2 linked regions of the Saccharomyces cerevisiae S288C genome follow. The protein of the gene in region 2 interacts with the protein of the main gene of each other region in a biochemical or structural test. Each region holds a gene or a part of one and is shown on either strand. Other genes may lie near its edges.

What was found. The genes of interacting proteins can lie anywhere in the genome.
Region 1: of the proteins of MRD1 (region 2) and HMT1, one has a biochemical effect on the other in vitro, tested with the Saccharomyces cerevisiae proteins (one study listed by BioGRID).

The regions. Positions count from the first base shown.
Region 1 is NC_001134.8:304,366-307,711, forward strand, and holds HMT1 (protein-arginine omega-N methyltransferase HMT1), read right to left. Parts: upstream 1,612-3,346; coding exon 565-1,611; downstream 1-564. Other genes in the region: EDS1 (Eds1p), read left to right, coding at 1-338; pyridoxamine-phosphate oxidase PDX3, read right to left, coding at 1,904-2,590. UniProt on the Saccharomyces cerevisiae protein: S-adenosyl-L-methionine-dependent protein-arginine N-methyltransferase that catalyzes both the mono- and asymmetric (type I) dimethylation of the guanidino nitrogens of arginine residues in a variety of RNA-binding proteins such as heterogeneous nuclear ribonucleoproteins (hnRNPs) and small nuclear ribonucleoproteins (snRNPs).
Region 2 is NC_001148.4:748,692-753,454, reverse strand, and holds MRD1 (RNA-binding ribosome biosynthesis protein MRD1), read left to right. Parts: upstream 1-1,535; coding exon 1,536-4,199; downstream 4,200-4,763. Other genes in the region: ALE2 (Ale2p), read right to left, coding at 1-154; PIS1 (CDP-diacylglycerol--inositol 3-phosphatidyltransferase), read right to left, coding at 536-1,198; serine/threonine-protein kinase DBF20, read right to left, coding at 4,455-4,763. UniProt on the Saccharomyces cerevisiae protein: Involved in pre-rRNA processing. Required for maintaining steady-state levels of 40S ribosomal subunit. Required for the initial processing of pre-rRNA at the A0 to A2 sites, leading to the processing of the 23S pre-rRNA intermediate to the 18S rRNA.

The sequences.
Region 1 (3,346 bases), on a different chromosome or scaffold from region 2:
ATGGAAATATGGCCAAGGGAATAAATGACAGAATTATGACGTTGTCAACTGCGCTGAACGAATTGGTGCAAATAACCGCACTATTTAATACCCTAGAACCTTTTAGGAAGAATGCACATGACCGTGCTAAGCGTTACTATGTAAGTGCTACAAGTAGTACCGGATGCTACGAATCGGTAATGAAGAGCATGTATTCCGGAAAATGTGCAGCTAGTAACGCCTCAAACGTTGCGCCATCGGAGGAAGAAAACAAAAAGATATTGAAAAAGTTTGCCGACATAGGTTGGAAATTGATGGATGATTCAGAATTGGGTTGTTGCTGTTGCTTCTTTAACTAATATTCATGATAACAAGGTGAAAAATAGCATCCTAATGAAGGATAGATAAGTAGATTTTTTCTTTTAAAAACTATAGTACAAGGACATGCAAAGTCATATATCTAAACTAATTTTGGTACACGACCAACAAAAAAGGGTAACAAAGTACACATATTCGCGTCAATAATATGAACAAGTTTGTTTATTTGCTTTTCAAATTTTTTTCTTTCTCCAGCAAACAAAAGTCTTAATGCATTAAATAAGAACCTTCGTTTTTTCTGCTTCTTGAATTACCGTCGATGCCATTCGATTCGAACTTGTAAGAAATTTTGATATTTAGATCTCTGTTATTCTTCTCGTTTGGAGAGCAAACCAATTCACCTTCAATGGTGTCACCAGTTTCAGCATCTAGATCATCAGGGAAATAAAATATTGTTTGCTTCCAGTGAGTGTATGGAGCATGAGGACCAGTGGAGAACTCAACAGGTCTCTTACCCTTTGGTGCAGGGAAAACAATGTCGAACCAGGTGACTATACCATTAATCATATCTTGTCTCTTGGCCGTCAATTTAAAGTTACTCTTAAACGCTAGATCTGATATTTTTACTGTATTTAAATCAAATTCGATCAATTTGTCTGAGGTGGTGTTGACATTGTTTCTTTCCACGGTGTCGACGATGGGCTCGTGTAAGACCAACGGAACAAATGGCGAATAATCAAACCCGTAAACGTCTTGCCAGTAGTTCAACTTCTCGTCTTTATACTGAGAGTCTTCCAAACCGGCCAAATGAATGGAGCACTTGTCGGGAAAGATCAGACCGCCTTCTACCAAATAGTGGTCTCTAGCGTAAAGAACGGTGTCCATCATGGACTCGTATAGTAGAAAGTAACCCATCCATTCAGAAATTATGATGTCAACTTTAGGAAAGGGTAAATGAACGTCCTCCAACTTGCCTCTTAGCAAGGTGATCTTGTCGCTGAATCCGTTCAACTCTACCAATTCCTTCGCCATCTCAATAATGCTTGACATATCAACACCGATAACATGCTTCGCACCGTGTTTAGCGGCAAACATGGATAAAATACCGGTACCGCAACCGACGTCTAAAACAATCTTGTCCTTAAAAAGATCCTTATTTTGGATAATTGCGTTTCTGTAAGATAAGGTACGAACAGTATCTTGAAGCATCTCTTCGTGAATACCATAGTGATCGTACGAATTGAAGTAGTGCTGTTCGCTTTCACTTAGCTTGGTTTTTTCTGTAGCAGAATCTTTCACGGCTGTCTTGCTCATTATTTTCTTTGGATGAATTTGTCGGTTCTAACTCTTTTTTGGAAACGGCAAGGTGAGCAGTAGGCAGCTCATCTCTTCAACTATTTTTATAACATATAATTTCCCTTTGTGAAAAAATTTTCCCGCCATTTCCAAATTTCGGAATTCCTTTTTCTTTTTTTTCATCTCGGTATATTCTGACATATTACCCTATAGGCGGTATAAAAAGATTCATTATACAGTATAAAATAGAAAATGAGAGAATTATATGGTGTTAAATAGATCCTACATTGAATTTTTCATTAACAGTCCCTCATGGGGCTAGTCTAACGACTTTCCATGGATCGTTTTCTGTTTTTCTTCTGTAAACGAATCTATCATGCAATCTCGAGGGTCTACCTTGCCAGAACTCAATTTCCAGTGGAACGATTCTCAAGCCACCCCAATAATCTGGACATGGGATGTCTTCAGCATCCTTGAAACGTTCGGTGTTTTTTTGGGTCAACTCGTCTAGTTCTTCTCTGTTCTTGATAACATCCGATTGGCGGGAAGCCCATGCACCGATCTTGGATCCACGAGGTCTCGTCTTAAAGTATCTTTCAGAAGTTTCTCTGTTAACATGCTCTGTGATACCTTCAACTCTCACCTGCCTTTGCAGATCCTTCCAAAAGAATACGATTGCCGCATTCGGGTTGGTAGCAATATCATGAGCCTTTCTAGAGGTTCCCCAGTTAGAATAAATAGTAAAACCTCTATGGTCGAGCTCCTTAAAAAGAAGAATCCTGGACGACACCCTCCCACTAGGTAGTTCCGCGGATGAAAAAGTAATTGCTTCTGGCAACGTTTCCCTTGGGTCTTCCTTGGCTTCGTTGAACCATTTGGTGAAAAGATCGATTGGGTCGTCAGTAAGTTGTTTTTCATTCAAAGTAAATTTATCATATTGATACGTCTCAGGAGCAAATATGATTGGCTTTTGGGTCTCCTCAGCTTGTTTAGTCATTTTCAGTGCAGATCCGTGAAGTGTACTACTGGTCTAGGTAGAGTATCTTTAAAATATCTAATCATGCAAATTAGTCATTTCTTCTTTCTTATAAGTTGCGGCCCCTTCTAGTATTTACAATTTACCCGGCGCTGGTTCTGGTGGCATCTATAAGAGCTCTATCTGGCTGCTAAGCAGACTTGCTGTTACTTGTATGTGCTGTTTATCAAGATTGGGGCATTACGCATGTGTATGTGTGAACTACAGTAGTGTTATGAAATACAGCCTGAAAGACGAAAACTTCACAACGGAACTTAAGCGGTTCAATAAACATCTATCTGCCAGCTTAGAGAGACTACCCGTGGTAGAGAAAGACACGGGCAGCCAAAAATACTGGGTGTTGTATATTTACTTGTGTTAGTTTATAAATAAATTTTATATCACTATATGTGTGGTGAAAAGGAAGAGCAATCCTGCTAAAGCTTTTATATCTAAACGCCAAAAAAATAAAAAAAAAAGGAAATGGGAGAAAAGTTTTCAGCGCGCGAACTCGCGAAAAAACTTCCTCTTTAGCAATGGTGACATATAGATCTCAAGGTTCTCAATTAAAAGACCTTCTTTGTAGCTTTTAGTGTGATTTTTCTGGTTTGAGAATAAAACTAGAGAGGAAGATAGGTACCCTATGAAAATGTCAATGGCTGTTGCGTTTGCTTAATCGTATTTTTTTTTTTTTCAGTCCGTGTTTTTTGTACATTCTACGTTTGAGTTTTCCATCAT
Region 2 (4,763 bases):
AAAGAAACCAAATATGGTAGAATATAGCAACATAAAAAATTGAGTGCAAGTTGGAGAGAATCGCTTCCGACTTGATTATATTGCGATTTGCCAAGAACGGAATCACCGTGGTCTTAAATAATTCCGGTTGAGGAAGCGACAATAAAACATCCATTTTTTCTTGTAGGCAATGTTCACCTTCGTGCTTGAATTCCTTCCGGGGGGGGGGGCAGAAGCTTGAGATAGAGGAGAGGTCTTCTTCTTTTTCTTTTTGATCTGTCCAACAAACGTTTTTTCTCTCTCCTTGGCTTATGTTAAATATGCCCTCGGGAACTGCTCGAAAAAAACAGGAAAAAAACCGCGTTGAGAAAAAGTACCAACAATATGAAATTTTTCGTTTATTTGAGCATTTGTTGTGCCAAGTATAATCAAGACGATAGAGTAGGCTGCTTTTAAAGTTAAATCAACGAATGTTCCATTTCACATAAATAAAAACTACACATAAATAAAAGATTAGCGCAATTAAAAGGAGAAAAAAAGTAAGAAACTCATCCTATCAGTAAGTCTTGTTCTTCTCGTTGGCATTCTTGGCATCGTTGTCTGCTAAAATCAAGGCTGCCCTTTTTAGCTGGACAACGTTTGCGGTCTGCTTGAACACGTAACCAGGGAAACTTATGATTGTAGTCCATTTACCAAAGGTTGCAGAATTTGAGAACAACTGCAAGTACAATCCAGCATAAAATAGTTCGTTAAACGCACAGATAGTGAACAGTACGTCTCTTCTCGTGTAGTACAGGTGTAACAATCTGGACTCACCCTCGCCCACACTTTTATGAGAAGTCTTACCAGCACTTAAACTGGCATACATATGCATGTAGTGACTAGTAATATCCAAGCCCAGCATTAATTGGAAGAAAACGCACCATTGGGGATACTGCACACAAAGGAAACACATCAAGCCAGCGGTACTGGATCTGTCGGTAACCATGTCCAGAACGGCACCCAGACTGGAAACCTGATTGTACTTTCTTGCCATGGTTCCGTCTAGCGCATCCAGTAGACATGATGTACTATACAACCATGTAAAGGCCGTAGGATGATTCTTCATAACGAAAAAAGAAAGGGCGGCGGTGATAACACGAACATAACCGATCTTATTGGGAATATACCACAGAACGTGTTCTGCAGTAACCTTTTCTGGTGTTGAATTCGAACTCATCTTGTACTATCACACTTTCCCTCTTATTTACATTACTTGAAGGCTCCACAGTGACGGCAAATAAACCATACCACCTCTCATGTTTTTTATGTTTTACTTATATACTAAAAGTGAAAAATCCTCGAGACGGAAAAAACAATAGGAGGGGCTTTCCCTATTGAGAAATAATTTCCGTAATAGGGATTTACGTGCGGAGCGACGTGAATTTTATAAAATGAAAAAATTTTATGGAAATTTAGAGCTCATCTCATCTCATCTCATCGGTACTTCATATGCAAAGACTGCAACCTGAACTGAGATTTAATTTGAGCCTCAAGCACAAGATAACATAACTAACATGTCCCGTATCATTGTCAAGGGTTTGCCCGTCTATCTAACAGATGATAATCTCAGGGAGCATTTTACAAAAAGATTACGTCAAAAACATTCCCATCAAGCAGTTAATGGTAGTGGTCCAGACCTCATAACAGATGTTAAAATTCTTAGAGATAGGAACGGAGAAAGTAGAAGATTTGGATTTATCGGATACCGTAACGAGGAAGACGCTTTTGATGCTGTAGAGTATTTCAATGGCAGTTTTATCAACACTTCTAAGATAGAAGTGTCCATGGCTAAAAGCTTTGCAGACCCAAGAGTCCCGCAGCCCATGAAGGAGAAGAGAAGAGAAGCTCTGAAAAGGTTTAGGGAAAAGGAAGAAAAATTGCTACAAGAAGAAAATCGAAAGAAAAAGAAAGTGGATGAAAATAAGCACAGCAACATTGATGACGAGATTCGCAAGAACAAGCAATTACAAGAGTTCATGGAGACTATGAAGCCAAGCTCACAAGTCACATCATGGGAAAAAGTTGGCATTGACAAGAGCATAGAGGACGAAAAACTAAAACGGGAAGAAGAGGACTCCAGCGTGCAAGGGAATTCTCTATTGGCTCATGCATTAGCCTTAAAGGAAGAGAATAATAAAGACGAAGCACCAAATTTGGTCATTGAGAATGAAAGTGACGATGAATATTCGGCTCTCAACAGAAACAGGGATGAAGATCAAGAAGATGCCGGAGAGGAAGAAAAGATGATAAGTATTAGCAATTTGAAGGATACTGATATAGGTTTAGTTAATGATGACGCTAATAGTGATGAAAAAGAGAATGAAAAGAGGAGAAACCTCGCCCAAGATGAAAAGGTTTCTGACCTAGATTGGTTCAAACAACGCCGTGTAAGAATCAAAGAAAGTGAAGCGGAAACAAGGGAAAAATCATCATCATACGCTACTGAACAAAATGAAAGTCTCGATACCAAGAAGGAAGAACAACCAGAACGTGCTGTGCCGCAAAAGACGGACGAAGAACTGGCTATTGAAAAAATTAACCAAACTGGCCGTTTATTCTTACGTAATATCTTGTATACCTCCAAAGAAGAAGATTTCAGGAAACTATTTAGTCCATTTGGAGAGTTAGAGGAGGTTCATGTGGCTTTGGATACCAGGACTGGTCAATCCAAAGGATTTGCATACGTTCTATTTAAGGATTCTAAGAATGCAGTGAACGCCTATGTTGAATTGGATAAACAGATTTTTCAAGGAAGACTATTGCATATTCTTCCTGGTGAAGAAAAAAAAAGCCATAGATTAGATGAGTTTGATTTAAAGAATATGCCATTGAAAAAGCAAAAGGAATTGAAAAGGAAGGCAGCTGCATCCAGACAAACATTTTCTTGGAACTCCTTGTATATGAACCAAGATGCTGTTTTGGGTAGTGTGGCAGCCAAATTGGGTCTAGAAAAATCTCAATTGATCGATGCTGAAAACTCAAGTTCGGCTGTCAAACAAGCTTTGGCTGAAGCCCATGTTATTGGTGATGTTAGAAAATACTTTGAATCCAAAGGTGTTGATCTGACCAAGTTTTCACAGTTAAAATCTACAAATCAAAGAGACGATAAAGTGATACTGGTTAAAAATTTTCCTTTTGGGACAACTAGAGAAGAGCTTGGCGAAATGTTTTTGCCATATGGTAAATTGGAAAGATTGCTCATGCCACCAGCTGGTACAATAGCTATAGTGCAATTCAGGGACACAACGTCAGCAAGGGCAGCTTTCACTAAACTATCGTATAAAAGATTTAAGGACGGCATAATATATCTAGAAAGGGGGCCTAAGGATTGCTTTACTAAACCAGCTGAGGCCGATGATTTGATAAATAACACTTCTGCAAAAGAAGAAGAAAACCCGGTAGAGGTAAAACCTTCATCAAATGACTTAATGGAAGCAAACAAGGATGTAACTGAAGGGTCATCTAATGCTCATGATGAAGACGTTATTGATGGTCCAACTGTCTCAATTTTCATAAAGAATCTAAACTTCTCCACGACGAACCAAAATCTTACTGATAGGTTCAAGGTTTTCACTGGTTTTGTTGTTGCCCAAGTGAAGACAAAACCTGATCCAAAACATCAAGGCAAGACCTTGTCAATGGGGTTTGGTTTTGTAGAATTCAGGACCAAGGAACAAGCTAATGCCGTGATAGCTGCAATGGATGGGACGGTAATCGACGGCCATAAGATTCAATTGAAGTTATCCCATAGACAAGCATCTCAGAGCGGTAATACAAAGACTAAATCCAATAAGAAAAGCGGTAAAATCATTGTTAAGAATCTTCCATTTGAAGCTACTAGGAAAGACGTTTTCGAATTATTCAATTCTTTTGGTCAATTAAAATCTGTTAGAGTTCCAAAGAAGTTCGACAAGTCTGCAAGAGGTTTTGCGTTCGTGGAATTTTTACTTCCAAAGGAAGCAGAAAATGCTATGGATCAGTTGCACGGTGTCCATTTACTGGGCCGCAGATTGGTAATGCAATATGCAGAAGAAGATGCAGTTGACGCTGAAGAAGAGATAGCCAGGATGACAAAGAAGGTTAGAAAGCAAGTTGCCACTAATGAGATGGCTGCCTTAAGAAATGGGGGCGGTAGAAAGAAACTGGATGTGGATGATGAAGAAAACGAAGGTTTCTAGTTTACCCTATCAGCTTATCGTATTTTTCTTTCATAATTTACATTTTATTTGAATATATAAATCATATTACTACTTTAATAGCATAAAACTCTTCAAAACATCTCATCCCGAAAAAGATTACTAAACTTAAAAATTACATGTTGCCTTGGTTTCATAATTTTGGTAATCATTCAAAATGGAAAATGTTAGCACATCTTGTTGCTGTTGTCAATGTATCTGTTATGCTATACAAAATTAAATTGTAGGGACGTAATCTTAATAAAAAGTTGAAAAAGGGTCTGAATGTTCTGAACCATTGTAAAGTATCCCGCTTGAACCTTGTTTTCCATCTCTATGCCTAAAAGTAAATCCAACAAGCTTGGAATCAACGGCAGAGTCATCGACCATTGCAGATAATTTGTTCTGTCTTTTGAAGACATCTGCATATTTAGCCATATCTTCTTCATTTGTGAAGTCATCGAAATAACCTGCATCCGTTTCATCATCTAATTGAGGAATAAATGGTGGAGAACTTGTTCTTAGGGTTTCAAAATTGATCTCTGCGAAATAAGACATTTTGCGAAC